Linked DNA regions of Caenorhabditis elegans. The protein of the gene in region 1 binds, or shares a complex with, the protein of each later gene. Each region holds a gene or a part of one and is shown in the gene's direction. Other genes may lie near its edges.

Region 1 (8,404 bases):
AAATAATCTAATGTCGTCTCTATCTGATCATCCACCATATCCACGTGCCGTCTTTCTTCATGTTCTATCTACGAATTCAGCCGCTTTATCTTTCTATAAAATGCACGGATTCGAATTCCACGCTTCGTTACCGTAAGTTTTGCAAAATAAAATAAAAAATTCAATTTTGTCAGTTATTTCAGGGAATACTATCGTATTGGAGAGCAATTGGCCGATGGTTGTACATATGTCAAATACATTAATGGAACCTACACTAATGTCACCTTTACGGATGTCTGTCGAACGTTTGGAAATACGATTTGCATGCCTCTCAAGGCAATTTGCAAAATGCTCTCTTTTTAGTATATAAATATTGTGCGTTCAACAAATTTGTCAGATTTTGAAACTAGAAAAACATGATATGATACTTGTGAAAAATTATTCGACAATTTTCGTCCAATTTCACTGAAACATGATTTTGTGGGCGTGGCTGGTTACTGTAGCTGACTAATTTCTTGAGCACACTGTACCTTGCGGCTTTCATTGTATCTTTTCTCAAACTTTAGTGCATTTCTTACGTTTCACCCCCATCTCTTCATTCATTCTCATCAGGTTCAAAACATTTTCAGTTCTTTTTTCATACTCTCGTGCTCCATTTCAAAGTGCTCCAATTCCTCAGATTCATTTCATTTAGATGTATATTCTTTATTAATCGCTCCTTTATTTTCCCCTGTAATATTGTACATTTGATTGTGTATTTAACTCGGTTCATCGAAATTTTTTATATTAAAACAACTGCAAGAAAAGAAAAAATAAAACAATAAATAAGAATAAACTATCAGGATTTGGAAGATATTAAGTTTTGTGCATGATGTGTTGTCAATTGCAGTGTTGTCTCTTCCTGCGTTATGCTACCTTTAATTTTTTTGTTTTTATGAAAACAGTGATTTTAAATTTTAAACTTACTCACAGTAGCTCTTTTCGAGTCGTTTCAATTCTGCACATACCGCCTGTAATTTTTTGTGACTTTTATTTATCTATTTTGAGTCCACTAAATAGTTTTTAGAGAGAAATTGACAAATTTATAAACAACGTAGAAGTACGTGATTTGAATCACCTAAAAACGTCCAAAAAGTTCAAAAAATAGCAAGCTTCGCTTTTTGGATATTTTCATGCATTCTTACTAATTTAATTTAGGCGGAGTCGTGCCAGTGGTGATTTTATTTTAAAGGAATATGTAGTTACCACTTTTTGAAATTCGCACTCAAAATTTCAGCCTTCTCTCATAGATTTTTAACATTTCATGTTATATATGATCTCTTAGATTAATGTTTGTCAAATTGTGAAACACTTCTCCACACGGAAAACAGCGAAAGAATGTGTAAATTCATCAATTGTCAAAAATCTATCGATTTCATTTCGAACATTTTTTTATTTGGGAAGTGTTTTTCAGCAAAAAGAAAAATATATGATAAAAACGCCGAAAATCTATGAGAGATAGCCCCAATTAGACCTGAACTCGGTCTTTTGCTGATTTGAAGTGCAAATTTCAAGAAAAAAACTACTCTTCATTTAAAAATTACCTGAATATCACTGTCCACTTGTTTCTTCAGTTGCATCGCTGTTGCCAGTAGTTGAACATTATTCTCTGCTGACGAAATAGCCGTCTCATATTGCCCATTGACACGTTTCAAATTGAAAAGCTTTACATTCCAATAGAACATTTGAACATCATTCAGTTTGACAAGTTCATCATTTGCCGTAAATAACTGACAACCAAGATCAAACTTTCTAATGACAGCGTTAATTGTATTGAATGTCCATGCTTCTGTTACTGTCATTTTGTGAGATCCCATCGTGAATTTTCGTGTGATGTCACGTGGAATATCCGATGGGAACTTGCTCAGTAGTTTCAGCTGGACCATATGGACAGCCACATAACGTTCTTTATTACGTGTCACTGCGGGAAGCTTCAGACCATCTATGGTAACCCAATCCCAAGATGATAGAGAGGAAATTAGATTTTCAGTTCCGTCAGATGTACTACTAGATGTACGAAGACGTTGAGGAGGTGGTGACAGGTTTTTGTTGCTCTGAAATTCAAGAATCTAGCTTTCTAGGTTTCTAGACGCAAAGCTTCAATTTTTCAGTATCGACAAAACATTTTCTATTAAAAAAAAACCTACATCAGTTCTCCTTGTAGAAGTTGAATTATTCATCTGCTGCTCATTTCCAACTGCTCCATTCTGTTTCTCCGGCGTAGAGCAATCAGATTTGATCACTTCAACATCAATTTCAGGACTATGGGCTCTTGGCGTCGCATCAGTGTCCTTTTTCTCAGCACTCTTTAAAGACGAGGTTGTAGTAGTGTCCATAATGTGTAGAAACACAAGCAATGCTCGTCTTCTTCTTCTCTGTCTTCCACTCCCCCATTCATTTTCTGTGTGCATCTGTCTCTCCAGTCTATCGATCCTTACACGGAGCGTGTTCGCCTCTGCGTCTCGCTTGGGCTTCAACTGCTTCTCGGCGTCCCTCTGAATTTTATATGCATTCGACAACGTTTGTGTGTGTGTGAAATCGTCATTCTAGGACAACAATTCGTATTTTCGTTGCATTAGATATTAAAAATTAAAACGGCTGAATTCAAAATGGGTAAGTATTTCTAATTAACTATTTCCCTAGTTTTACTTTACGTTTTTTCATCATTCTAGAAAGTTATCACTGTAGCAATCGACTCCGTTATCAGATACATAGAAATGATAAGATAGCAAACAAAATATTGTTGATTGCACAATTGAATACATTCGAATATTTATTAATCGTTGTATTGAAATCAGTTGGAATGAAAATGTTAAATTTACACTACAAACTACAAGCGATAACATTTTACTGTATATTTAGTGTTCTTAGTTAGTTGCCAAAGTGATATCAAGGGAGATATCATAATTATTTAAGATTGGGTACCTTCATTTAAAGAAACTGAGTAGAGTTCTTTTGGAGTACAGGACCCAAACACCGTTTTTTTTTCATAGATAATTAACTTTTAACTCCTACAAAAAGGTCTGACAGAAATTCCGAAGGTAGGCATGCCTACGTAGGTTAGTTGCAATCTCGCTCTGCTGCACCATGTCGGCAACAAGTTCGTAGTGACGTTTGAATTAATTCTTCTTCGCTCTTTTATTCTACTTATAAATTCTGCAATTGGCCACATATTTGAAAAAAAAAACACCATTTTGAACTCAATTATTTTTCTAACAAATGTCGGTTTAAATTCAAAAAAATATATCAAATTTGATATTTTGACAGTATTTTCTCATAATAATATATTTTCCAGAGAATGAACTTGATGGATAGCGAGAATTCGAGTAGTCATTCGATAAGTTCTCCACAAATGTTTCAAAACACGCACAACAATTCAGCAATGGAGGATAATTTGCTTTCTCGGCCAATGAACAATGAATCACTTCAAATGATTATTGGATACTTACGACGAAATGGTTTAACAGAAACTGAAGAGCTTTTGACTCGAGAAGCTGGACCAGTACTTAGAGTTGAAGGATCTAATGGATTACCTCCAGAGTAAGTTTTTTTTTTCAATTTAAAAATGTATCTAGAAATTAATATTTTAAAAGGTTGGAGCATTGCTAGACTCAAAATGACCCCACAAAATTGTTTTAAATTTCTCAAAAAAAAGCTAACCAGTTGATTAAGATGCTTTTTCAGTAGATGTGCACACAGTAATTTCAAAATAAAATTTTTTCCAAATGTTGTGCATCCATCGACTGAAAAGATCACTTTTACCGAAAAAATCAATTTTGTAATTTTCTGCCGAATATAGACTTTTCCCCTAAACTCAAAACCGGTATTTAAATAAATTTGGGAAATTTACAAGACGTATTAATAATACATTCGGTTTTCGGTATCATTTTAAGTCTAATGAATCTACTCAAATTTCGCCACTTCATCTTAGAAATAATTTTTTTTAATAGCAAAATAGACAAAATTTGAATTTTTCAAAGCCCAATGTCTTAAAAACCAAAAGTTTCAGAGAAGCGATATCCGTTGAATTCGACACATTTGTCCAGCACGCAAACGATTGTACAGATGTTGTTCAAGCGGAATTCAGTCAACTTTTATTTCCTATATTTGCACACAGCTATATAGCTTTAATTGAAAAGCATGCCGCAACTGCCCGTATATTCTTCAATCGATTCAAGATTTTCATTCCTGAATGTTTCTCGGAATTTGTATATCAATTATCACTAATCGAAGATGCAATGACGTTACGAGCCAATGAACATGTTCACATTTTACGAGAAAATAAATTTCTTGTTCGACTTTCGAGGCCAACACTGAAACATCTTGAATCAATTCAAACGAGAGTGATTGGTGTTAAGAATATAATTGCAAAACATATTTGTATTGAAAGTAAGTATTCATTTTTATATACAAAAAAAATATAATAATATCCGTTAAAGATGCTGACGAAGTATCCACAAATCGAACGACAATAGAAACCCAAATGGGTGGAATTCTTGGAGTAACTTCGAAAAGTGATAAAAGACATAAAATGATGTTTTCGGTGTTAAAAGACGAATTGATGCAGAATATTGAAAAACGGAAGACAAAAGGAAAAGATTGGAAAGATATGGGAAAGAAAATGCAGACGGTAAGATTTTTAAACAATTTTTTTGAATTTTTTTGTACTGACAAGGAAAGATTTTCATCTTACCCTGAAATTTTAAAAATGTTTATCAAATTTTGTTTATGTTAATGAAAAAAAACATAAGAACATATATAATTGTTTTCTAAAAAAGAGAAAAAAATTGTCAATATTTTAAGCTAATTTTCAAAAAATCAAAAACAAAATCATTAGATTTTTCGATTTCCCAAAAACCGAAAAACGTAATATTTTCGTTATTGTTTTTTGTGAAAAATCGAAAAATGAACACCTTTGCTGATAACATATCGCTGTAACATTTTAATCGGCATGTTATGTTGAAAAATCTAATTTTAAAACAGTTGATTTTTTTCTGAATAAATTTCCAAAAATAATGTTTGGCTACACCTAAACTCTTTTGAAGTCTTCAAAAATATTCAAAAGTATCTTTTGGAGCAACTCTAATGGCCTGAAAATAATGCAAAAATACACTGAAAAATACAGTCAAAATTTAAATGGTTGAGGGTGTAGCTGTGACGATTAAAATTTTTTAGTGTGTTTTTTGAGTCCCTCTCCCTTTGTTCTGTAATTTTCATAGTTCTTTGTATATATCTTGTTATTTCCAGCATTGCCCACAAGCTGACCGAATTCCTCTTCCACCAATCAGCGAACATCTTCGAGAGGAACGACGAAATTGGCTTCGAGACGTCGGAAAAATGGCCATCATTTCAGCTGAATCACCCGTTTCCATTTGTATGTACACAACAGTAAATGCACCAATTGGAGTGGCTTCATGTGATTTTACGGATGATTCAAGTCTTATTGCAATGGGTTTATCTGATTCTTCAATTGTTATGAATGCAATGGATCCGATGAATAAGATGAAGAAGCTTCGTGATATGGAATTTCTTGATAAAATCGATATTGAAACTGCGGATAACGTGCAATCACAAATGTTTGATTTACAAGGATCAACGACAAGTGTGAGGTATACAGGCCACGGTGGTCCCGTGTTTTCTGTCAATTTTTCACCGGATCGACGACTTCTTATATCATCTGCCGGAGATCGAACAGTTCGACTTTGGAGTATGGAGACTCAGAGGAATGCTGTTATTTATAGAACACCAGCAGTAGTTTGGCAGGTTTGTATTTATATAATTTTAACTAGCATTTTAACTGAGATATTTAGTGTCGTTGGTAATCTTATTTCAAATAATAGATCATTATCCGAAATTATCGAATTTAACTAATAAAAAAACTGTCTCATAAAGTTTCAGCGCAACGTTCTACATTATCTAATCTGAAAACTATTACAGGCTCAATTCTGTAGTCGTGGATACTATTTCGCTACAGCAAGTGCCGATAAAACAGCTGCAATGTGGTCGACAGATCGAATGCATCCACTTAGAATATTCGCTGATCCATATGGAGACGTTGGATGTATTGATTATCATCCAAATTGTAATTATATTGCTGGAGGATCAGATGATAGATATGTTCGAGTATGGGATGTTTGTTCTGGTACTCGAGTTCGCATTTTTAGTGGTCATAAAGCTTCGATTATCGCTGTCAAGTTCTCCCCATGTGGTCGGTATATCGTCTCGTTAGATGCTATTGGAAATCTGATGATTTGGGATTTGGCATACCAGAGATTAGTTGCAGCTGAAATTACGGAACAAGCTGGAACGAAGGTAGTGAAATATAAAAATGATAATATCATATTACTAGTTCATTTCAGGGTTCAATTACATTCTCTCGTGATGGTGGTGTATTTGCGGTATCCCATGGAAATTCAAGTATTCAATTATATTCACTTGATACTCTTATTGGAACAGTTCTCGCCGCTGGACAAAATGATTCCTACATTGAGCCAAAGTAAGTTTTAATTAGGAACAAAATACTTGGAGAAATATACAGGTACAAATATTATGAAAACGCAGAAAAATCCCCTTACGAGAAAGAAGAAAGTATAAATTTTATTCATCAAATTAGCCATAACATTTTTTTAAACCACTTAAAAACAGGACAAATGCTTGAAGATCGGAGAAATCGGCAATACTAAAAACTTTCGAATTTACGGTTTTGTCGCCAAATACCTAATGAGACCTATGGCTTGGGGGCGGGGCGTATTTATTCGGCAGTGGAGCGCGTTTCCACTTCAGAATGTCTTTTCTAAGTCCTCATAATATATAGTTTCTCGAAAACTCCTACAAGCTTTTTTCAATCAATTTTTACAAAATTTCAGAGTGAATCTGGACGGTTTCAATATAGGATCATATGCAACAAAAGAAACTGCAGTAATCGGACTCCATTTCACTCGTCGAAATCTTCTTCTTGGATTTGGTTGCTTCGGGCAATAACTGTCATCTTGCCTGCTATTATTTGAACATTTTATCTTTAAAATACATTATCTCAAAATCTGGTCTTTAACGTGATCCTCTCATTCATATTAAATCTCTTTTTCACTGGTGGAATAAAACCTTTTAACAAATTTTAAATTTATTTTAAAATCCCTTTGGCTTTATTTTGGAATTATGTGTTCATTCCGACACTGCAAATATTTTATTACATTTTTTTCTCTTTTTTAAAAATAAGGTTATTTTATTTTCAGATGACGTCGTTCGTCGAAGGGTTGACCAGCCCTGAAATGGAAATTGCTGAGGGCGGAGTCATCTTGGATAATAGGACGTAGGTTTTTTTGTTAACTTAAGACTAATAAAAATACTTATTTTTTAAAAAATTTCAACAGTTACATTTTAGGTATAACTGTACGTAACATTTTTCGAATATATCTACTTTCAGACGATTCGCTGACCTAAAAGCCATGCTGGATAGTAATAAAGATAACCTAAAAGTTGATGCAATGAAACGAATAATTAACGTGAGATTTTATTTCCAATAAATTATAATTATCTAAACTTGAAATTTCAGCTGATAGCGAAAGGAAAAGATGTCAGTGAACTATTTGCTGCAGTTGTGAAGAACGTAGCAGCAAAAAATGTGGAGCTGAAAAAGTTGGTATTTGTTTATCTTGTACGATATGCCGAAGAACAACAAGATCTTGCACTTCTCTCGATATCAACTTTCCAACGGGCTCTCAAAGATCCGAATCAACTGATTCGTGGAAGTGCTCTCCGAGTTTTAACATCAATCCGTGTTCCGATGGTCGCACCAATCATGCTTTTAGCCATCAAAGATGCAGTACGTGATATGAGTCCATACGTGAGGAAAGTTGCTGCACATGCCATACCAAAACTATACTCACTGGAACCTGAACTCGAACCTCAGCTTGTCGATTGCATAGATTTTCTTCTCGCTGATCGAAGAAGTTTAGTACTCGGTAGTGCTGTTTACGCATTTGATGAGATCTGTCCACACCGACTCGATCTTCTTCATAAACACTTCAGAGCATTATGTCGTGGTTTGGCAGATGTCGACGAATGGGGTCAAATTGTGATGATCAACATGTTGACTAGATATGCAAGACATGAATTGGCGGATCCAGATAGAGGACCACCCGATACGGATGTTGTACTTCTTCTCAACTCAGCTCGTCCTCTACTTCAATCAAGAAATTGTTCAGTTGTCATGGCAGTCGTACAATTATTTTATCATGTTGCGCCGAAAGCTCAACTCTCTCAGGTAAGTCAAGCGGAAAAAAATATGGCTTCAGAAATTTCAACTGAAAAGTTAGTAAAGTAAAAATAAAAACTCTTATTTCCAGATCGCCCGTGCACTTGTCCGACTTCTACGTGGTCCACGGGA
Region 2 (5,298 bases), on another chromosome or scaffold:
AAAACTTTTCGCTCGCGTCGAAACCTGAGAACCATATCAGTTTGAAGAAAATAAAACAATAGCGGCCCAAAAATCAACACCAGATACAGTAATGCATAGTCTGCGTGGCGAGACCCAAGGGAGTAAGATATGGGGGAAAGTCTCATGTTAAGACGTCTATGTAATAATAATAATATCGGGAACTGGGTGTACTTAGCCAAAGTTGGCTCTCTAAAATGAAATCAAAGCTCTAAACGCCAAACAATGTCCCAATTCAAAACTCCACTTTTCAGATGTCACATCAGCCCAATCACGCATCGATCGCAGCGCCGCATGGTTTAAGCCGTTGCCCAACGTCCGTTCACCACAATATTCCAGGTCTCGGATCGGTGGATCTCGTCTTCTTCCACGTCGCATGTACCGTAGTCTTCCTCAAAATGACTATCAGGGAATGTGGGATAAACTAGTGCGTTTATAGAATGTGAAAGACTGGAACAATGTGATTTGTTTACAGATCGATACGGATGCACAGATGGATGCTGAAAATTAGAAATTCCTGCAGAAAGACTTGACCCGGTTTATCCCAATGATTAATTCCCACACGTCCATCTCGACTCAGATACTCTTGCAGATATGATAATCTCATCCTTCATGATACTAATTTTCCAGTTTTAATTTTGAATAAAGTGATTTTGTGTTAGACATCAGAGTTCCTTTTTTTCCCTAATTGCACGTTGTGACAGATTGTCTCATTTCTGTTTGATCTATGTAGATCTACAAAAAATGCGGGAGTCAAGACACGGAGATCTCAACTGATTTCGCACGATTAAGAACGTGCTGTCGTCAAATTTTTTTTTGGGAGAAATGTTCCCGCATTTTTTGTAGATCAAAGTATAATGGGACAGCCTGACACCAATTTGCAGAGCTGAGGCATGACGCAAGTATACTTATAGTCCTGCTAGATCGCAGAATCATGAAAATGACAGCTTTTGCACCAATTCTCGAAATATAATTATAGTTGCAAGAGAATTGTTTGACGTCACTGCACTTTTATTTTGAATTTTTTTTTCGAAAATTGATAATTTGCATTGAAAGCAGGGATGGGCGGCAAAAGATTTTTCCGGCAAATCGGCAAATTGCCGGATTCGAAAATGTCCGGCAAATCGGCAAATTGCCGTATTTGAAAATGCCCGGCAAATCGGCAAATTGTCTTATTTGAAAATGACCGGCAAATCGGCAAATGCCCGGAATCGAAAATGTCCGGCAAATCGGCAAATTCCCGGATTTGAAAATGTCCCGCAAATCGGCAAATTGCCGGATTCAAAAATGTCCGGCAAATCGGCAAATTGCCGATTTTCCGAATTTGCTGAAAAACGGCAATTGCCGAAAATTTTCGGCAAATTGTGGTTTTTCTTGAAAATTCGGCAAATCTGCAAAAATTTCCGGTTTGCCGATTTAAAAATAGATCCCTCTCAACACTTCCGCCAAATGGGTATCCGGCAAACGGCAAATGGTCGCTTTGCCAAAAAATGAAAATTTCCGGCAAATCGGCAAGCTGGCAAATTGCCGGAACCAAACATTTCCGGCAAATCGGCAAACCGACAATTTGCCGCCCACCCCTGATTGAAAGTACACTAAAAATCAAAATTCTAATCAATTAAAAATCTAAAATTTTCTAGTTAATAATTTTTTGATTCTTTCCAAATGAACCGAGATATACGCTGCCAGAGTGGTATAGACCTAAAGTTTTGGGTCGCTGAAAATCACAAGAGATAACGCGCTCCACGGCCAATTTAAAACGCCCCGCCCCTGAACCATGGGTCTCGTTAGGTATTTAGCGGTTTTTTCAAACTTTTTCAACTATTTTCGGGATTTTGGCAATTTTGAAGCATTTTTCGTTGTTTTTAAAGAATTTTCTGCCAAAACATTAACGATGTTTGAAAATTCACGTGAAATTGACCATTTGCTTTTTTTAAAATCAATTTTTACATTATAATTCATTGAAAATAACGGCAAATGCTTGAAAATTAGCGAAATTTACGCAACTAATCAAAAAAATTTGAATTTACGGTTTTGCCGCCGAATACCTAACGAGACCCGCGGGTTCGGGGGCGGAGCGTTTTTGGACAGTTTCTCTCTGCCCCTATAATACAGACTTTTTTTCTAAAATTTCCCTGAAATATTAATTTGGGAGCGTATTACAGCTACTTTACGAATTTGATGAAATATTCATGTTCTGATTTTTGAACCGCTAAAGTTGTCTAGAAACATTTGAATTAACGATGATTACCGGGAATTAAATAGTAAAAACTTTTTAAACTTTAATTTTTAAAACTAAATTAATTGAAGAATTAATTTTAATCAAAATTTTCAACGTGCGTTCGCCCAATTCTGTTTGATTTAGCCCTCTTATTACCAGAAAAGGGCCACGAAAGCGTTCACCAAAATTGTGTGCGCACGCATTACGAAAACGCGCGCCGCACATTGCAAGTGGGCGGAGCGCCGCACCACGAGACTTTTTTAAAGTTTAAACCCTCGTGCCGCTGCCATTGGTTTTTGGGGGAACTTTTTGAGCTTTTAAATACGAATTTTTATTGTAAAGATATGTTTAAACAAATTAGTAATAACTTTTCAACGAAATACTCGCTTTAAATTATCTTTCAACCTAAAAAAAATTCAAAAATTTCCCGAATTTCAGCAAAAATGAATGATCCAGAGCAATATGAGCCTTCTTCGTCGACAGAAAGCGTCCTGATGCCTCCACCCGCACTTCCACAGGTTTTTTATCGATTTAATTGATTAAAATTAACCGATTTAAAGTATTTTCAGCGGCCAGCAGCAGCTCCACAAGTTTACTCCACTCTTGAGCCATCTGTTCAAAATTTAAGGTTTGTTTTTGTTCAGGGTTAATGACATTATGACAAGACAAAAATTATTAACAAATAATTTCAGATCGTCGTTGCACAAGCCTCTCACCGGAAATCAGCAACAATTTGTGCAGAAAACGCTGGAAAATGTTCAGAAAAATCCATCGCAAGACGACACACACGAGTTCATCAATCAGCTCGCCGACTATCCGCCGACGATTCCCGATTCTGTAACATTGCACTTCTTGAAGTCTGCCGGTGTTGATGGATCGGATCCGCGAGTGACTAGAATGATCTCGCTGGCGGCTCAAAAACATGTTTCGGATATTATTCTTGACGCGATGACAAGTGTATGGTTTAGAATTTGCAAAAGAAAATCCAAGTTTTTTTACAAGAACAATTTCAGGCTCGTATGAAAGGTCTCGGACAGACGAAAAAAGGAACGAAAGACACAAAATACACGCTCACAGAGGAACTTCTCGATGAAATTCTCAAAGAATACGGACACCAGAACACTCGTCCACCATATCACACCTAATTTATAATATACCAACATGATACTCCTCAATGGGTTTTATAATGCTTTACATTTATTTTCCTGTTTTATGAATTTATGCCGTTTTCCTATATACCAATTATCCAAGTGGCTCTTTTTTGCCATTTTATGCTTCTCCTTTGTTTTAATTTTCAGTTCTATTTAACCCATTTTTCTCTAGAACACCCCCAACAATGCCAATGCCATTCACACGCGACGATGACTATGACAGTGATCCAGAAGTTCAGGCGGAGAAGGAAATGGCCAAGAAAGATCCAATCGGCTTTGCGATCGACTCGAGCTCGCTGACTTCGATGAAGAAGGCGGCGGCTGCGGCCGCGAAGGATCAGGTCTCCACAACTCCACCAAATCTAGTCATCGGAAGCAATGGAGGCGCCGGCACGATCGCAACCGTCCCCCGTTCCAAGTGTGGGTGCTGGAGCTCAAGCTCAAATGAAAGAAATTCGTGATGAAAAGTTCAAAATTTCGGCCAATTTTGACAACTTTTCCGAGTTGCAAAGCTCGGAAATTGACTTTGTTCGATTTATCATCCTTGTTTGCACATTCTGATAGTTTATCTCACATTATTTCGTTGATTAATGTGCATTTAAATTTAAAAATGACCAAAATGAGCTTCTATCGGCTTAAAAAATACTTTAATTAACGCAATACTCTGGGATAAACGACCAAAATATGCGATAAAGAATGATAATTTTAAAAAAAAGTCAGCTCGCTTTTTCGTTCGAAAAAAAAAGCGTGCGGTGGCTTGCGAAAAGCCGCGCGATAGGGAAAATGTCCTCCAAAACACTAACAGTTTTTTTTATCAAAAATCTCAAATTTTCAGCGCAAGACGAGATTGTAAAGAAGCAAAAGACTGCCGGCCAAAGCAAGGCTCTCAAGAAGCAACGCTCTCGCGGAATCTCGGGATGCTCTTCTCGCAAATACTCGGGATACGACGATGAAATGGATGAGGATTTCGGCGACGATGAAGACTACGACCACTACGGAGGCCAAGAGGTTTTCGACGAGGACGAAGAGGACACTTTTGTTGCGAAAAAGTGAATTCCCATGATGATGTCCCAGTGTCGCCGTTTCAATTGTTTAAATAATTTAATTTTAAAAAATTTTACCGTTAAACTCCTTGTTATAACTTTTTTGTGAAGTAGTATATGTGTACATTCACTCGCTGTAAATTTAATTTGCCTAGTTTCTTTTTCGTTTGTTTTTTTTCTGTTAATTTTTCACGTTTAATTTTCCACACACACACGGCTTTTTAGTTCGGATATTATTTCAATCCCCTGTTCCACACTTTTCCCCAGCGGTTCCATGTTTCTACCCCGATACTCTTTTTCAATTTTGCCCTAACTCCTTCCTTCACACACCAACTTATTCTCATTCTGTACATAAATTGATCGGCGCAAAACTTTTTTTCTGAGGCCTGAAAGTTAGAAAACTATCATTTGATTATCTAAAAATTATCTTAAAAAATCCAATAATTAAAAGCAAAAATGTTTAAGTCCCAGAGATATGATTCCCTACCGCCAACTAGTCAGAATGTCCCATCTGGCCGCCCGTTTCGTCGGCGGAGCAGATGTTCATGTTGTAGATCCACTAGTCGACTTGAGGAATGTCTTCGAGCAAACTGATCAGCTGAAAATTGCGTTGGAATGCAGAAATCTCACAGTAGACGTGGAAAAAGTGAAAAACGAATATGACGAATGGTTTGAAACCTATCAGAAATGGAAGCAAGCCGATAAAGAATCGATTTCCCAGCTGAAAAAAGAACTTCGAGCGAAAAAAGACGGTCTGCTAAATGCTCTCGCCCTTCCGAATCTTGTGCATCACGCCGGGAAGAAGCAAACTCCGCTATTAAAACCTTCAAGTAATTTATTGCGAATTTTGCAAAAAAAGGAGCGC
Region 3 (10,434 bases), 7.5 Mb from region 1:
AGTTTGGCTGCTGCATGTAGTTCGTCGCCTGGAACCCTGGTGGTGGTCCAACATTCGACGCCTGCTGTGGCTGCTGATCCCGAGAGCTTTGAGATCCGAACTTATTGAAGTCCATAAGTCCATGAGTCTCTCGTTGTTGACCAGATTGCACTTGTTGCGCAGAAGCAGCCTGTGACAGAGGAGCAGTTGGAAGCAAGCTTGTAAGATCAACTCCCATTCCGTATTGCATAAGAGCAGCAGTATATTGCTCATCTCGAACTCCTGGCATTGGATTGTACATGTTCATGTAGTTGTTCATGTATGGTGCATATGGGAGTTGTTGAGTGAACATCATATGTGGATGCTGTTGTGGATGTCCAGTCGGTTGTGATTGAGCTGGTGGAGTTTGTTGCTGCTGCTGCACTGGCTGTTGTGGGGCTTGTTGCTGCTGCTGCTGTGGCTGGTGCTGCTGAGCAGATTGCTGTGTTGGAAGTGGTCCAGAATTGTTGAACTTGTTCGGCGCCATCCTGTCCGTTGGTTGATATGAAGCGGACGAAGTGTCATAGGACAATCCTCTGTTAGATTGACCATATGACAATGGAGGTGAAGTCGATTTTAAGTTGTAATCGCCGTTAGGAATTGACGTCCTTTCTGGCTGAAAAATAATCGAGAATTAGAATAAATCGTCTTTGCAACAAATTTAACTCACCTCAACTTGTTTCGGCATAATACGAGAAGAGTTAAATATATTTTCACTGGCATTTGAGATCGAGGCAGCGGAGGATTCAGTAGAAGGAAGCTGTGGGCTTGGAGCAGCCTCAACAAATCCAAATGAGTAGTCATGAATGTTCGTTGGTGCAGTTGTGCCAACAAATTCCACTCCAGGATCAGGAATAATCTGGACTGGTGCTGCACTTGGAATTGGAGATAATCCTAGTCCTGGTGCTTCACTCAATCCTATTCCAAGATCCGTCTTCAGTTGAGTGGTCCATGCTTGATTTGGTTCTGGGGTGCTTTGTACATTTTCATCGTGATGAGTCGACACATTAGGCGTCTGCTCCTCAGCCAAAACTGATGATTCACTGAAAATTAAATTTTTAATAATCTAAATACAGGGACAGAACAACTTACTTTTGGAAGAAACCATCTTCTTTCTCCGGCTGATGCGAAGTTTCTGGCTCGAAAAATACTGGCGCTGCTGCTGGCTCTTCTTTAACTGGTGCAACTGACGGAAGTGGAGGTTGTGGGGAGAGACTCCTCCTTGGCGGAGCTGCTGGTTGAGGATTCTGTGCCTGGTGCTTTCGGAGTGCTTCTTTGCGATGGGCAGCTGCTGCTACTGCAGCAAATGAGATCGGTGCCGGCGCAGAAGATGTGGGAACAGTGGCGGTGACGGATTCCTCTACTGGTGGTTGAACTTCGGTGACTGTGGTATCCACTTTAGTCTGATTCTGAAAAAAAAACACGTTTCGTCATTTTCCTTCTTCAAAAAATTCTTACCTCATCAAGATCAGCAGTGAACGCATCTGGCTCAAGTGCTGATGATGGAGCAACAGCTCGAGAATATCCACCTCTGGCGCCACCTCTTCCACCTCGTCCAACATACGGTTTTTCAAATCCTCCTCGAGTCGAGCGTGGTGCTGCTCCTTCCTTATTATCACGGTTATCCCGATTATTATCTCGGCTTTCTCTTGGAGCTCCATTGGATCGCCCGCGGCCTCCTCGATCGACGAAACCGGTGCCTCCACCTGAAAAAAACATATCAATATTTGATCTATTTCAATCAAGCACGAACCTCTGCCTCTTGCTACAAATCCTCTGTTGTTATAACTGCCCTCTTCCGGCTTCTTCTTTTCCTTTTTGGCTCCTTTCTGTTCAGTCCACGAGTCAAGTTTATCTCCAGCATCCAGAATGTGATCGATTGCGCCGTAAAGATTGTTGTCAGTATCCAATAGCGCTATCTCAGCTTGTGCTTGTGTACATCCGGTGGTTTCGATAATCTGAAAATGAAAAAGACATGAGCAGTGAAAAAACCCCTCTTGGGAATGCGCGAACACTTTAATTAGCCCAAATGAGTAGGACATCTGGGTACTCTTACTCTCGCTGCACCATCTCAAGCGCGGACACCTGCTTTTGTCCTTTTATTTGCCATCTGGCCCCGTCTTATCGATTCGAAATTCCTATTGACACTGAAAGCGGACACTAGAGAAGTTCAAAACAACAAAGTCACGTGCGTCATCATGTCGGTGTGTGGCGAGCGTTCGCGTGATGCAAAGATCACTATTTTCAGGAAAGCGTCATTTCCAGCTTGGAGACTTACCGTCTTGATCATAAACTGTATGTCCTCCTCATTTCCGGAATTTCCTTCCAGTGTGAGTCGTGCAAGTCGCGCTTGATCGCTGGTAGCTTTTTTGTCGCCTTTAATACCCATTCTGAAAACAAATTATAAATAAAAAGGGTCAGTCATGTGAACGCAAGAATGGAATGAGAATCACGAGAATACAACTATCAAAGGAAGGTTGAATGAAAGGAAGGTCAAATAGATGACAAAAGTAGGAAAAGAACGAAATATGGAACCTTCCAGATCAAAAAAACATTATCAAAAGAAAAGCCTCGCACAGAAGACTCTAACGAACATGTTAGGATGAAGAAATATTTCAGCAATACATCACGTTGAACTTTGGAGGATATTCTAGAGAAGAAAACCCCTACATTTTACAATAATTTTGAAATGGAATTCGAATGAACTGCTATACAATGGAGAATCCTATTTAGCGATGATAAAGTGTAGGCTTGTTACTAGATTGAATAAAAATTTCGAAATGTAACAATACATTGACTGAAAATTTGGGTATTTCAGAGTGTGATATCACAAAAATCAATATTTCCACTAAACTCAAAAGTTCTTACGCTGAAAAATCATTAAAAAATTGAAAAATCACCGCAAGCTAGACTAGAATCGCGTTCAAATCTCGCAAATTCCCGCAGTTGAAAATGCGGGCGACCGCGACGCGAGCCGCAACGCACCCCTCCAAACATGCGGCATGGGTCTCGCCACGACCGAAAGTACGGTCACTCTTGGCAGTATAAAAGGCGACCATTTTCCGCTATTTTCCGGTAAATTTTCAAATGAAACTGTGTTGCGGAGGGGGTTTTCCGCTAATTTTGCGGAAATTTAGCTATTTAATGTGAAAATGTGAATAAAACAAAAGAAAGTGGGGAGGAATAGCAAGGAAACACACTGTTGAACCCTGGGAATTATCGATTTTGTATGAACTCTTCTTTTATGGCGTCGAAATTATCGACACGAAAACTCAAAACCTTGTCACATTTCTGAGAGAGAAATATCATTTTCAGCACACATGAGTCTTCCCAGATTTCGACTCGTTCAGGGAAAGGCGATCGGCGAGCGATCAACGCCAGGAGTCAGCACACCAGAGCCGGTAATTGTTTTTTTTTATTTCAAAATTTCTACAACAACAAAAAGAACTAACAATAATTTATTCCTTTGATTCCAGGCCCCTCCGCAAATAAAGCAGGAAGTCGACTACCAAGATGCTCATCAAATGGCTCCGGAACCCGTGGAAGCACCCCGTAAATATTTAAAAATTTAAAAAAGTTAGAAAAAAAATTTGAATCCCAATTTTCAGAGGCTCAAAACCATCAAATGCAGCCGCCTCGTCAACCTATACAACAGCAGATGCAGCATTTTCAGTCACCATCGCCAATGGCTCCACAAGGGCCGCCCGGGACTCCACAAAACTCTGCAGCGGCGGCCGCCGCTGCTTCAGATGACAAAAACGTGACAAAATGCGTCCGCTTTCTGAAAACTTTAATTAATCTGTCGAATAACGATGATCCAGAAATGCCGGACAAGGCCGCCCGTGTCAAAGAGCTAATTCGAGTGAGGAATTGAGCGAAAAACGCGATAAAAACCGGACAAATTCGGATATTTCAGGGCGTAATTTATCTGGAAACGACGGCTGAAGAGTTTACACGAAATCTGCAACAAGTGCTCAAATCTCAGGCTCAACCGCATCTTTTACCATTCCTTCAGAATACTCTTCCGGCATTGAGGAATGCTGTTCGAAATGGTTCGGTTTTATGTGCAAAAAAATTAAAATCGACAAAAAAAAAATCATCGAAAAACAGGAAAATTTGAGTTGAAAAGCAGCGAAAAACTTGAATTTAACATAAAAAATTGCAAAAAATCCGTTGAATTACATTTTTCAAGAAATTGTGTAGAAATTCCATGAAAAAAATTCAAAATTTCCAAATTTTTTGGCTATTTCTAGTCAATTTCTTTAAAATTCCATTTTTGATAGCGAAAATTATCAAGTTTCTAACAATTTCAAGCTGTTTTTGGTGATTTTTTCAATTTTTCGGCTTTGAAATTCCATTTTCCGGAGTATATTGTCATAATATATCCGAGTTCCACAAAATTGAGCAAAAAAAATTAAAAATTTCCCTTTATTTAAAAATATTTTCAGCTGTCAGTAATATATGGATTTTCCGCAATTTTTCTCACAATTTTGAGCAAATTCCTGATTTTCAGCCAATTTATAAGGATTTTCACCCATTTTCATAATTTAGGGCTATTTTCAGCTGAAAAATTGTAATTTAAAGTTTTTAAAATTTTTATAGATTTTCTCAAATTTCAGCTCAAAAATTCGATTTTCAAGCGCATTTCCAGGCAATTTATTAAGATTTTCACCAATTTTTTTAGCTTAAAATTTAAAATTTCCACATTTTTTGTCTATTTCCAGTAAATTTCTTTAAAATTCTATTTTTGAAAGCAAAAATTATCAAGTTTATCGCACTTTTTCAATTTTTCCGGAGTATATTTTGGTAATTTATCCGAGTTCCACGAAATTGAGCAAAACAATTATTTAAAAACTTCCCTTTATTTAGAGCTATTTCCGCAAATTTTCTCGCAATTTTCACGCAATTTTCATAATTCAGGGCTATTTTCAGCTGAAAAATTGCAATTTAAAGTTTTTAAAATGTTTATAGATTTTCTCAACATTCAGCTCAAAAATTCGATTTTGAGGCGCATTTCCAGGCAATTTATGAGGATTTTTACCTATTTTCTAGATTAAAAATCTTTTTTTTTCCTCAATTTTGGACTATTTTCCCTAATTTTCAAATTTCCAGGCACTGCATCAGTTGAAGGCGTAAATCCACCGCCTGGCTACGTTTTCAACAATGGAAGAACCCCAGGACCCCCTCAGCCACCTCCACCTCAACAACAATCCCAGCAGCAGCCACCACTAGAAATGCGTCAAATTCCGAATCCGAATCAAATACCCCCACAAATGGTTCAAGGGGGTCCCCATATGGTATCTGTAGGCGCCCGGCCAATGATCAGGCCTATGGGCCCCGGCGGCCCAAGCCCAATGGGCCTACAAGGCCCCGTACGAGGGCCGATGGGACATCAGATGGTCCAGATGCATCCTCCTCCCCCACCACAGCAGATTCAACAGCAGCACCCGGCTCCCCCTGTAGAAATGGAGGTGGAAGAGAATTTACAGCCTACCGCGGCGGCCACGGCCACGAGGCAATATCCTGAAGGATCGCTGAAATCGTCGATTCTGAAGCCGGATGAGGTGCTGAATAGGATCACGAAACGAATGATGTCATCGTGTTCGGTGGAAGAGGAGGCGCTTGTCGCGATTTCAGATGCTGTTGAGTCGCATTTAAGGGAACTTATTACACTGATGGCCGGAGTTGCAGAACATCGGGTGGAGAGTTTGAGGTATTGAGGAGAATTGATTTTGCTTCAAAATACGGCAGCGAAAAAAAAATTAAGCAAAAATAAGGAAATTATTGAAGAAAAATCGTCTTAAAAACAATTTTACATTAAAAAAAAAGATTTTTAAATTTCAAAGGTTCCGAACTATTTATTAAAAAAACATCTAGATTTTGTTTTAAAATCCAAACAAAAAACATTGCTGAAACGCGGTAATTTTTTTTCAAAAAAATATAAAAATCTGAGAAATATTTTCAAAAATATCTCCAATTTTCCCCTGATTCCGAATATCTATTCGAAAAAATTCAAAAAAAAAATTTCCCTTTATATTTCAGCTTGAAATCGCTTTGTGCATGCACACCATGAGATTTTTCAAATGCGCGCCCAGATAAATTCTCATTGGGGCGCACTTGCTTCGTGTCGATTTACGGGAGCTCTTCATTTTTAAATTTCTTTTAAGCTTTTTTTTTCAGTTTTTCAACGAGTTTCCTTGATCTTCGTCGATTTTTTGTCATTTTTTTTCCTGAAATTTTGTTTTGTGTCAATTTGAAAATTTTTTAGGTCAAAACTCCTGTGTTCGTCGAGATCTGACGTAAAAATATAAAATTCCGGGAGTTTTGAGATATAAAAAAAATATTTTAAAAATTTCAGAAAAAAAACTGACAAAAAAGCGACAAAATAAAAGAAACGCGCAAAAAAAAAAAAAAAAAACTTAAAAAAGCACGAATAAATTTTTTTAAAAAATGGAGAGCTGCCGTAAATCGACACGAAGCAAGCATAAAAAAATGGCTTTTTTCCTAACAATTTTTTGTGAAAAATCCGAATTTTCCATCCTAAACACTACAAAAGATTCCAGAATTCCGGAGAACTACGTGGCAATTGATGACGTCAAACGGCAACTTCGATTCCTTGAAGATTTGGATCGTCAAGAGGAAGAATTAAGGGAAAGTCGAGAAAAAGAGTCGCTAATTCGAATGAGCAAGAATAAGAATAGTGGAAAAGAGACGATTGAAAAAGCGAAAGAAATGCAACGACAAGATGCTGAAGCGAAAAGGAATCGAGATGCGAATGCGGCTGCAATTGCAGCACTTTCCAGTAATAAAACTGTCAAGAATAAGTTCGTTTTTAGCGTGAAATTTGCAGAAAAATTATTTTTAAAAAATAGATTTAAAAAAAACAATTTCCTGACCAAGGGTGTCATTTTTCGATTTTTCGGTTTTCAAAAATTCGAAAAATGAAAGTTTCGTTTTTCGATTAAAAAACTGAAAAACCGACACCTTTGTTTCTGAGATTTGGATTTAGAAATAAGCAAAAAAAAATTATTCAGAAAAAATTGTTTTACAATGCTGCAAAATCGATGAAAAAATAAAATAAATCAATAACTAATTTCTAAAAAATGGAAAAAAATTTCGTTTTTTTCGAATTTGTATTTCACAAAAAAAAATTTTTAGAATAAAAATTTTCAATTAAAAAATTACTATTTAAAATCACTGAAAAAAAATGAAAAAAATAGAAAATTCAGAAAAATAGCGAAAAAAAAGTTTTTTTCCAGAAATTTCGTTAAAACGATCAAGATTTTAACCCTAAAATTTAGATAAAATCAATTTCTTGTGGTTCTTAATTTAAAAAAAAAAACAGTACTTTCCAGTAATAAAACTTTCAAGAATAAATTCGTTTTTAGTGCGAAATTCGCAAAAAAAATTACGAAAAAGTGAAAATAGAAGCTGAAAGGAAAAATGTTTAAAAAATAAGAATATTTTCGACATTAATTGGTTTTTATATATATTTTTTTGTAGAAGTTTAAAAAAATTACTAAAATCACTGAAAAAATTGAAAAAAATTTTAAAATCTGGAAAAAAAGCAACAAAAAATTAATTTTTCCAGAAATTTCGTTGAACTATTCGGTATTTTAAGCCTAAAATCAAGATACAATCAATTTGAACAAAATTTGCTTTAAAAATACTAAAAATTCGAAAGAAATAGAAAAAAAAAGAAATTTTCGAAATTTGGATTTATTGTTAGAGAAAAGCTGAACACTTACAAAAAATTAATTTTTTACGTTTTGAGAAAAATTTTTGAAAAAAAAAATCGATTTTTAAATAATTTTTAGAATTTTTTAGAACTATAATTTTTGAATTTCAGTGACTTATAATCACAGAAAAAAATGAACGAAAAACAAATGAACATCTTTTCGGCAAAAAAACGTATTTTAAAAAAAAATTTAAATTTCTAGTGACTTTGAAAAAAAAACCACATTTTCCAATAATTTCCAGGAATAAACTAAATTTCTTTGGAGAAATTTGAAATTTATTTCACATTTCGAAAAAATTTATATAGAAATAAAAATTTATATGAAAATAAAAAATTTGCAGCTCCTTCCAGTAATGAAACTGTCATTTGTTGAAAATTAGTTTTTTTTTAATTTAGAAATTCTCTTTTCGAAAAAAAAGGTTTTTTTAAAACTTGATTAAAAATTAATTCATTTTTTTCCAAAATTAGGGAAAAAATAATTTCTAAAAAATTAGACAAATACACTTTTTTGTTGAAAAAAACAACATTTTCCAATAATTTTCTTTTTTTTTAAATTGCTTCCACTAAATTCACTTTTTGAAGAAATTTTTTGAAATTTTTACTGAAAATTGTTGGAAAATTATTAAATGTGCATTTTTTTGCAATTTCCAGTTGATAAACTAATTTCGGTTCAATTTAAAATAAATTTCGAAAACCAATTTCAAAAAATTCATTTTTTACAATTTGTTTTTGTTGATAAAACGAGCTAGTTTCTACCAAAATACCGCTTTTTTACATTGAAAATTTAAATTTCAGATGGGAAAACACGGGCGCCGCAACGACAGCACCTCGTCCACGAACAGTACGTGTAACAACTCGTGATCTACATCTTTTAGTCAATCAGGATAGCCGATTCACAGGGTAGCGATTTTTTTTGTTTAAAAAATTTTTTTAAAAAACACCGTATTAAACATTGATTTTTATTGGAAAAAACTGATTTAAAAATTTTTCAAAAAACTTTCAAACGAATGGTAGTTTTTAATATTTTAATTTTAAAAAATTCCAATAAAAATCAATTTTTATACGATTTAAAAAAATTTTGAAAAGTTATCCAATTTTCTCCTAAAAAAACTCATTTTTTTTCCAGAACATTCATCCGTGAAAAGATGTCATACGGTGGTCCGGCAGTCGATACAACTATCTGAACTAAAGAAATCTCATGGAAAAAGGAGCGAAAATTCTGCTTTTCTCGTTTTCTTTTTTTAAATTTAATTTTATTTTTCCACAAATTAAAACAATCACTTTTTTCCAGTCAAATAATAATTATTTCTCATTTTTAAACGAAATGCTAGACATAAAAAAAAGCTTCTTTTTCAGCTTTTCAGCCAAAAATTTCAGATTTTTCAGAAAAAATTCAACAACAAAAAATTGGCAAAGTGCAAAAAAACCAGAATTAGATATTAAAAATACAGGAAAAATCGAGAAAAATGAGTTACAATTCAGAAAATTAGGCAATTTTTTTTTCAAAATTTCTCAAAAACACTGAAATTTCGGTATTTTTTTCTCTACTTGAGCACAACCTCGTGTTGCACCAATCGAACATAGTCTTTGAGCGTCGGTGGAAGTGGAAGCTCATCGATTATTCGCTGATAGACACCGTCGGCACCGGCGATTTCCAGATTTCTACGTTGGCGAAGGTGGATGGCGCGCTGGAAAAATTTCTAATTTCGAGCTGAAAACTCTTTTATGAAAGCAAAATTTCATAGTTTCAATTCAAAGTTCGAATTCCTCGCAAAATTTCAGTCGGAAAACCGAAAACTAGAAGTTTCTTGCTCGAATTTGAAATTTCGAGGGGTACGGTATCCTCGAAAGTACGCAAACACCGAATTTTGTTTTTTTGAAGTTTTGGCGCCAAAAATACAATACCCGGGGTCTCGACACGACAAATTTTTAAAATTTTTTTGAGTACTGTAATTTCAAACAAAAAGTTTTTTTTCGAATAAACTCGAATAATACGATAAAAAACATATTTTAATAAAAACCGTGGCAACGAAAGTTTGAAAGTACAGTACTCTCTTCAAAGGCGCACACCTTTTACGCATTTAACTTTCGTGGCGAGACCCCGGGGATACCGTAATTTTTGACTCAAAATTTAAACAATAAATCCGTTAAAATATTAAAAAATTTTTAGATATTTTTCAAAAAGACTGTCGAAAAATTGTTTTTTTATAATTTTTAGAATATTAACAAACAGTTTAAAAATTCCAACAAATTTTGTTTTTCATACCGAAAAGAAGAAAAATGGACAAAATAGTAAGCTATTTTTGTGTGTCAAAGTGTCTTATTTCGGCTTGATCTACGTAGATCTACAAAAAATGCGGGAGAAGAGACTCAGAGTTCTCAACTGATTTCGCATGGTTAAGAACGTGCTGACGTCACATTATTTTAAGGCGAAAAAATCCCGCCTTTTTTTGTAGACCAAACCGTAATGGGACAGCTTGGCACCACGTGACACCCCCCGATTCTCACCTGTTCGTGATTTTGGCGAACTGCCATTTCTTTCAAATAATCGTCTAGCGGGGGACTCGATGCTGAAAAAAAAGTTTGATTCGTTAGAGGAGCACAAAATTCTGAAAATGCGTATTGCACAACATATTTGACGCGCAAAATATCTCGCAGCGAAAACTACAGTAATTCTT
Region 4 (6,727 bases), on another chromosome or scaffold:
TCAAAAATGAGATAACTGTATCGTGTCTGTCCCTGACGGATTGGTGGATTCAACGACAACACAAAATATACATGACGTCCATCTTTATGAGGTACCAGGAATAGACGATTGATCGACTTGATAGGAATCTTGTAGTCGTACGTTTTTCCATGAAGTGCAATACTTGTTGGATAAACTTTGATGTCGTATCTTCCACGAGGAGTTGTGCATAGAATGTCGGTGAGAAGACATATCGGTTGCTCCGTCTCGGCTTCCAATCCAGCGTATGCCAGAACAGCTTTCTTGAATTCTTCAACTTTATCAGCATCCTCCTCATTTTCAAGATCAATTGGCATATGGAATCTCATCTCCATGAGCTGAACTTTGCTATCATCATTTTGGTGGAACTCCAAAACTGCCTCATTTTTGTTTGCAATAACATTCGATACATTCGTGCACGGGATTTCGAAAATTGGCTTATCTTCCCATGAAAATTCAACAGTCTTGCCTTTTACTTCGGCTTGTCCGTAGTTCCATCCTTTGATGAAAAGATTTGATTGATCGATGGATTGAGACCAATTAGAAGAAGTGAACGATTGGATTTTCTCGAGGTCCTGAAATTTCAAGTTTGTGATTGAAGTTTTTTGAAAAGCAGCAAGAAAGCAAGAGTGTTTTAAATGAAACTAAAAACAAATCAAAATGAAATGAACAAAAAACTAACAGTATCTTTGAATCCTCCGAAGCGGTGAGCACCTCCATCGTTGAGACCGACTCGTAGTCCCGGCTTGTTGCCAAGTTTTTGCCATTTCAGTTTATCGATATCGGATCCCGTGACATTAACTGATTTTCCACCCTTATCGCCTTTGAAGTTGAGTGATTTTTCAGTCAATTTAAGTGTTCCGAACGCCAAATGACCTACATCTTCAACATAAACTCCCGGGAATTGGAGCTCAGCCATTCTGAAAATTGTTTGTCAATAAGTCTAGTTAACGAGAGAGAGAGGGAAGAAATCGAAAGAAGAGACTTCAGAAAGTATACTCCAGCAGAATGTAGCGACACTGAAAGAAAATATCGATTTTCCGAGCGAAACTAATTACGAAAATAAACCCTCTTTTCGGTGAAATTTGTTCTGGTTTCTTGCAATATGAATTCATGAATTCAATATACTCATTACCAGAGATTGAATATGATTATTTATAATTTAAACAGAAATAACGAAAAGATTTCGATAATTATCATCAGATTCGTATCGATTCTAGAAGAAAAATTGGGAAAAGTGTTGCATTATTTTTGGCGCGCCGAAGCGAAAACAATAAACTACGGTATTCGATTGTACGTGAACACCGAGCATTACTTTGTACGCAAACATGACACCTGACGACATTTCACAAGGATTCATACTTTTTCGTTTTTTTTTCTCAAAAATGTCTAAATTTTCTGATTTTTATAGCAATCGTCGCTAATCAAATAATTTCAGGGCAATGGACGACGATTTGGACCAATTTTTCCATGATGATGCGGAGCAGAATGTAAGAAATAGCAAAATCTCATGTAAATCTTACCAAAACCTTTTCAGGCTGATTTTTCGGATGATGGCTCAGAAGATGAAGCGCCTGACAATGTCGATGTCAATTATGAGTTGGAGAGGGAAGAACCCAAAAGCAAGTCTGTTGCAGAATTCACTAAATTTTTGCAAGAATGCGAATATCCGGATGACATCATAAAATACTTTAAAACGATAAAGTTTTTCGAAAAAGACGCAAAAACTGGAGATATTGTTTCTACAAAATCACTAAAGTTTACTGTAACCGGTTTCATTCAATACTTGTTTGGCACGAAGCGAATTCAGCGTCCAGTTCTCAGAGGAATCGCTAAAATTTTTGGAAGATATGATATTTTCCACTTAATCTCCCCGGAGCTTGTGAAGTCTATAACGGTGAGTTAAAATATCTGTATTTGTTTATACGAATCACACATTTTCAGCACCTAAAAGAAACTCGCACCACCGCCTGGTTCAACCTGTTCAATTTTCTTTCATTCGTCCCGCACCCAACTGATCGAGTGACGAAACCATTATTTCGCCAGTTTTGTGTCAGAACTCCATTCAACGATAAAAGTATGAAAAAACGAAAGCTGACATGGATCTCAACTGACTATGACAACGTTTGGATGGCTGTTATGAATGGAAAAATTAGTGACAAGTTGACACTGAAACTTATTCCATATATCACTCAGAACGTCATTTCGAAATTGAAAGCACCATTCAAATCTGCTGATTTCTTTTTCAAAATGTTCGACAAAACTGACTATCATGGAATTCTTTCGCTTGGTGCTATTTTTCGTCTTATTTCAGAACATAACTTGTAAGAGATTTTATTTGAAATAGATTCATATAAATCTTTATTTCAGTGAATATCCGAAATTCTACGACAAAGTATATTCATTGACGAACCCATCTCTTCTCTATATGAGTCAGAAAGAATCCATTCTGACACTTCTGGATAGTTTCCTGTCGTCTACGTGAGTTGCAATATTCTAGAAAATTTATTCTGAATCATACCTTTTCAGCCATCTCCCAACATACATCACTGCTTCGTTCCTCAAACGACTCTCCCGATGCCTTCTTCTTGCTCCAATTGATGCTCAGGAACCAATTCTTGGATTAATTAGAAATCTTGTGATTAGACATCCAAACTGTTCTGAATTGGTTCATCGTGAGGTTCCTCAGACTCTTTACGATGATCCTTTCGACAATGATGAGACAGATTTACACAAAACTCGCGCATTGGAATCAAGTCTTTGGGAGATGAAACTTCTTCAATGTCACTGGAATCAAAGTGTCAGAAAACGAGCTCATTTCGTTGATAAATCGATTCAAAAAATTGAGTCTTACGTTCGATTCCGATGCACCGACGAGTTATTCTCTGTAAACATGGCAAAATCATTTGGCGGAGAGGATGGAGAAGCTGAAAAATATCGAAAACTGCAAGACGGGGATGAAGACGAAGAGGGAACAGGAAAGCCGGAACCGAAGAAAGCTCGTAGAAAAGGATTTGGTGGGAAATTCGCTCCAAAACACGAAGAAAAAGTCACAAGAGCAGTCGGTGTGAACTCTGAAGCGCCGAAAGGAATTCTTGATAGACAAGTTCCAATCATCGATGTTCCAACTTTATGGAAAATTTAATCAGATTTTTTGTTACAGTTATTGTTGTTCCACTTTTGTTGTTGTTTTTCCGTTTTCTCGTTTTTATATTTTAAATTTTCAAAATAGTACTGTTGTTTTTCTTTTAAAATAATTATTCCAGTGTTTTATTCACTGAAATCATATTTAAATTAAATATCTTGTTCCAATTTCTTATCCATTTTTCTTTTTTTGATTAAAAATATTTTTACAGTTCACAATGAACCTTAACAGCCCAGCTGTATCAATGCTTGGCGGTGACACCCCTGCACATGGTGGACCGAATTCCGTACTTGGAGGTCAAGGACCCTCATCAATTCTCACGGGACACGGTCCCAACTCTGTAATGGGACCAAACTCGATTCTTGGACCTGGAAGTGTTCTCAATCCACAATCAATTCAACCAATGCAATCACAACAAATGCACAGTAAGTTATTTGTGGAAAACTCATTTCAGGGTTTTTGCTTGAAAAGGATAAAACTAGCCCAAAATTAACTAATTTTTTTTAAAGAGACTGCTCATAAAATTTTCACTATTTTTTATGGCATGACAAAAAGTAAATTAACAAGAAATCAGAATTTTGCTGAATCCCGAGACTTCTATCACAGCAGCTGAATTACAGATTTTTTGAATTATCACCCTTTATAGAATATTTTGTTAGTTTTTCGTTAATTTCGGCAAATTTTTATGTCGTTAGGCGTCTAAAAATGAACATAATTGGCATGTCGATCATAAATGGGACTGAATCGACGATGTGAAGCGAGATAAACAACTAAATTATAAAATTATAAATTGTTCAATAAAATACACTAATTAAAAAAAACTGTATCCTAACTGATGCGACAAGGAAAAGTTAGCGAAATTTCAGATTTAAGCGAAATTAATACGTTTTTTTTTCGAAATTTTAATATTGTACAGTTTAAAAAATTTATGAAAAAATCTGATGAACTCTCTGTGCACGTTTATTTTAGCCGTGACCAGTCTTTCAACTTTATAACCTTTTTTCAGTCTTAAAGCCGTTTGTCAAAATTAAAGATTTATATTATTTCAGGCCTTCAAGGTTCTTCAATGCAAATGCATTCACATCTCGCCAACTCCAATCTCAACTTGAACATAAATCCAGCTTCAGTCGGACCTGATCGTAATCCTGGATCAGTTATGCATCACAATTTGGACATCAATCCTCCATCAGTTGCATATCAGAATTTGACAGTTCCAATGACACCACTTGCATATTCTGTATATGATCGAGATGCTCTGACACATCAGGCTCCGGCAAGTAACATCGCTGCCACAATGGTTCCAGCAACTCCAGCAAGTCAATTGGATATTCCGATGCCAGCTCTTCAGAACATTGTCTCTACAGTCAATTTGGGAGTTCAATTGGATTTGAAGAAGATTGCATTGCACGCGAGAAACGCCGAATACAATCCAAAACGTTTCGCAGCAGTCATTATGAGAATTCGTGAACCAAGAACAACTGCTTTAATTTTTTCGAGTGGAAAAATGGTGTGCACTGGTGCGAAGTCAGAAGAAGCAAGTCGATTGGCAGCACGAAAATATGCGAGAATTGTTCAAAAGTTGGGATTTCAGGCGAAATTTACCGAATTTATGGTAAGTGTTTCTGGAAAAAGGTCACAAAATCATTTGAATAATTTTTTTGTAGGTTCAAAACATGGTTGGTTCTTGTGATGTTCGTTTTCCGATTCAACTTGAAGGATTGTGCATTACTCACTCTCAGTTCAGTACTTACGAACCAGAATTGTTCCCTGGATTAATTTATCGTATGGTCAAACCAAGAGTTGTGCTCCTTATTTTTGTGTCTGGAAAAGTGAGTTTAAGTTATGAAATAACCTTTTCTATGTTAAATTTTCAGGTTGTTATCACTGGAGCAAAAACAAAGAGGGACATTGACGAAGCATTCGGGCAGATTTATCCAATCTTGAAGGGATTCAAAAAATAACTTTCTTTTATTAAAATTGTTTTCATTCTTCTTTATTTTCAAATTTTTGTTTCATTTTAAGCCTTCCCTTATCCCTAAACCCGGATCTCGTATAATACAGGTAAAGTAGCTTCATTTTAGACATCTATGCACTTTAGAACCACTTTCTTCAGTCTACCAATCCGATAAAATCGTTTCGAATTCAATAAGCTTTCGATTAATTACTGCTCACCATTTCTCCCCGTACCTTGTATAATTTTGTTGATGTTATTTTTTTTTGAAGAAGTGACATTATCAATGTTCTTTTCAACTTTCCTCTTGTTTTTCAAATTTCTCCCGTATTATTGAGAATAAAGTATTAAAATAGTTGTTGTTCAATCTACGAAATTGAATTTCTGATAATTTCTGTAATATATTTATTCATATTTCAAATTTATAACATTTCAGATTGAAATTTATCGTTTTAGATGATTCCAGCTGATATTATTGCATCAATTGCTGGATTAGTAAATGAAAAAGATATTGAAAAGGTATTTCATTGGTTTCTACATTTTCAGATATAAAAGAATATTTCTTAACCCGACAAAACTCGGATTTCGATCTCACTGTCAATTCTGTTTTTAAAAAAGTAATTAAGTTTCGAATTTAGTAGAATTTCTCCAAAATTTTTTTGCCAAAAGACTAGGAAAATTTAAAAAAAACAAACAAACTGAAATTTTAAAGGTTTAGTGAAAAAACTCCGAAAGAGAAATTGAAATTAGTGAAAACACAAGAAAACCAGAAAGAAAGTCGATTTTAATTTATTTTGAATCCGTAACAACTCAAAAACTTGAGCAAAAGTTTCGAGACCCGAAGAACTCGAGGGATGTCCAACTGGGGGGATTACCAACTCGGGGGATTGGCCCCGCCCACAGAACCGTGGCTTGCAATACGCCCATTTTTGCAACTGCCGCACGGTTTTAAAATTATTTTTCTTGTTAATTCTCGCTCTATTGAGAAAAATACAGTTTTAAAACCGTGCGGCAGTTGCAGAAATGGGCGTATTGCAAGCCACGGTTCTGTGGGCGGGGCCAATCCCCCGAGTTGCTAATCCCCCCAATTGGACATCCCCCGAGTTCTTCGGGTCTCAAAGTTTCAAATTAAAAAAAACAACACTAGAACCATAAACATCACATGTTGCTAAAGAATATCCGCGAAAAATGTAGAATAGTTTTTTTTGGATTTTTTTCCAAAAACTAATTTTTCGTCAAAATACAAAAAAAAAACACATGGTTATAAGATCGCTCACTTTTGCGCAAACAGTTTTTTGAAAATATAAAGATTCATAGTATCCGAATGAATTCAATTTTTTCAGATCACTTCTGAGTATCAGGACAACATTTGGGAATTCGTGGAATCACTTGTGACTCATGTTCTTGCCAGTAATCATGTTGGATATTCTGGTAAGAATGAATATTTTAACACCCTAAAAATATTAAAACGAGATAGAAGTTTGGAAAAAAAATTCAATTACAAAACTTATTTTTTTTAATTCAAAAATCGTACAGTAGAAATAATAGTATAAGGTTCGATGTGCTCTGTGAGCCAGAAGCTGCAAAAAAGAAGTGCAACAGGCTGGCTTCTC

The links.
Region 2: taf-5 (region 1) and taf-10 share a complex: the UniProt entries of both Caenorhabditis elegans proteins name them as parts of the TFIID basal transcription factor complex.
Region 3: taf-5 (region 1) and taf-4 share a complex: the UniProt entries of both Caenorhabditis elegans proteins name them as parts of the TFIID basal transcription factor complex.
Region 4: taf-5 (region 1) and tbp-1 share a complex: the UniProt entries of both Caenorhabditis elegans proteins name them as parts of the TFIID basal transcription factor complex.

What each region holds. Positions count from the first base shown.
Region 1 is NC_003279.8:7,846,500-7,854,903, forward strand, and holds taf-5 (Transcription initiation factor TFIID subunit 5), read left to right. Parts: upstream 1-3,313; 5' UTR 3,314-3,325; coding exon 3,326-3,558; intron 3,559-4,027; coding exon 4,028-4,407; intron 4,408-4,457; coding exon 4,458-4,648; intron 4,649-5,265; coding exon 5,266-5,781; intron 5,782-5,955; coding exon 5,956-6,330; intron 6,331-6,377; coding exon 6,378-6,514; intron 6,515-6,884; coding exon 6,885-6,999; 3' UTR 7,000-7,137; downstream 7,138-8,404. Other genes in the region: F30F8.10 (N-alpha-acetyltransferase 60), read left to right, coding at 1-132, 174-342; F30F8.5 (MATH domain-containing protein), read right to left, coding at 818-894, 950-989, 1,563-2,072, 2,166-2,354; apb-3 (AP-3 complex subunit beta), read left to right, coding at 7,251-7,327, 7,442-7,520, 7,571-8,281, 8,364-8,404. UniProt on the Caenorhabditis elegans protein: The TFIID basal transcription factor complex plays a major role in the initiation of RNA polymerase II (Pol II)-dependent transcription.
Region 2 is NC_003283.11:4,684,432-4,689,729, forward strand, and holds taf-10 (Transcription initiation factor TFIID subunit 10), read left to right. Parts: upstream 1-2,671; 5' UTR 2,672-2,682; coding exon 2,683-2,757; intron 2,758-2,799; coding exon 2,800-2,867; intron 2,868-2,931; coding exon 2,932-3,196; intron 3,197-3,252; coding exon 3,253-3,384; 3' UTR 3,385-3,468; downstream 3,469-5,298. Other genes in the region: nssp-51 (Neuropeptide-Like Protein), read left to right, coding at 273-445, 494-529; K03B4.2 (HUN domain-containing protein), read left to right, coding at 3,576-3,810, 4,226-4,443; K03B4.1 (Seryl-tRNA synthetase), read left to right, coding at 4,909-5,263. UniProt on the Caenorhabditis elegans protein: The TFIID basal transcription factor complex plays a major role in the initiation of RNA polymerase II (Pol II)-dependent transcription.
Region 3 is NC_003279.8:379,495-389,928, forward strand, and holds taf-4 (Transcription initiation factor TFIID subunit 4), read left to right. Parts: upstream 1-3,331; 5' UTR 3,332-3,338; coding exon 3,339-3,419; intron 3,420-3,494; coding exon 3,495-3,570; intron 3,571-3,626; coding exon 3,627-3,880; intron 3,881-3,934; coding exon 3,935-4,070; intron 4,071-5,130; coding exon 5,131-5,731; intron 5,732-6,581; coding exon 6,582-6,842; intron 6,843-8,551; coding exon 8,552-8,656; intron 8,657-8,882; coding exon 8,883-8,940; 3' UTR 8,941-9,070; downstream 9,071-10,434. Other genes in the region: Prion-like (glutamine/asparagine-rich) domain bearing protein pqn-59, read right to left, coding at 1-634, 689-1,061, 1,111-1,427, 1,477-1,724, 1,772-1,976, 2,297-2,407; R119.5 (Protein-L-isoaspartate O-methyltransferase domain-containing protein 1), read right to left, coding at 9,301-9,444, 10,265-10,326. UniProt on the Caenorhabditis elegans protein: The TFIID basal transcription factor complex plays a major role in the initiation of RNA polymerase II (Pol II)-dependent transcription.
Region 4 is NC_003281.10:7,380,659-7,387,385, forward strand, and holds tbp-1 (TATA-box-binding protein), read left to right. Parts: upstream 1-3,374; 5' UTR 3,375-3,380; coding exon 3,381-3,588; intron 3,589-4,212; coding exon 4,213-4,775; intron 4,776-4,827; coding exon 4,828-4,992; intron 4,993-5,037; coding exon 5,038-5,124; 3' UTR 5,125-5,466; downstream 5,467-6,727. Other genes in the region: hmg-4 (FACT complex subunit SSRP1-A), read right to left, coding at 1-593, 701-937; T20B12.3 (nucleolar complex associated 4), read left to right, coding at 1,461-1,508, 1,556-1,915, 1,963-2,342, 2,389-2,499, 2,548-3,163; Tetratricopeptide repeat-containing protein trd-1, read left to right, coding at 5,571-5,633, 6,458-6,545. UniProt on the Caenorhabditis elegans protein: The TFIID basal transcription factor complex plays a major role in the initiation of RNA polymerase II (Pol II)-dependent transcription.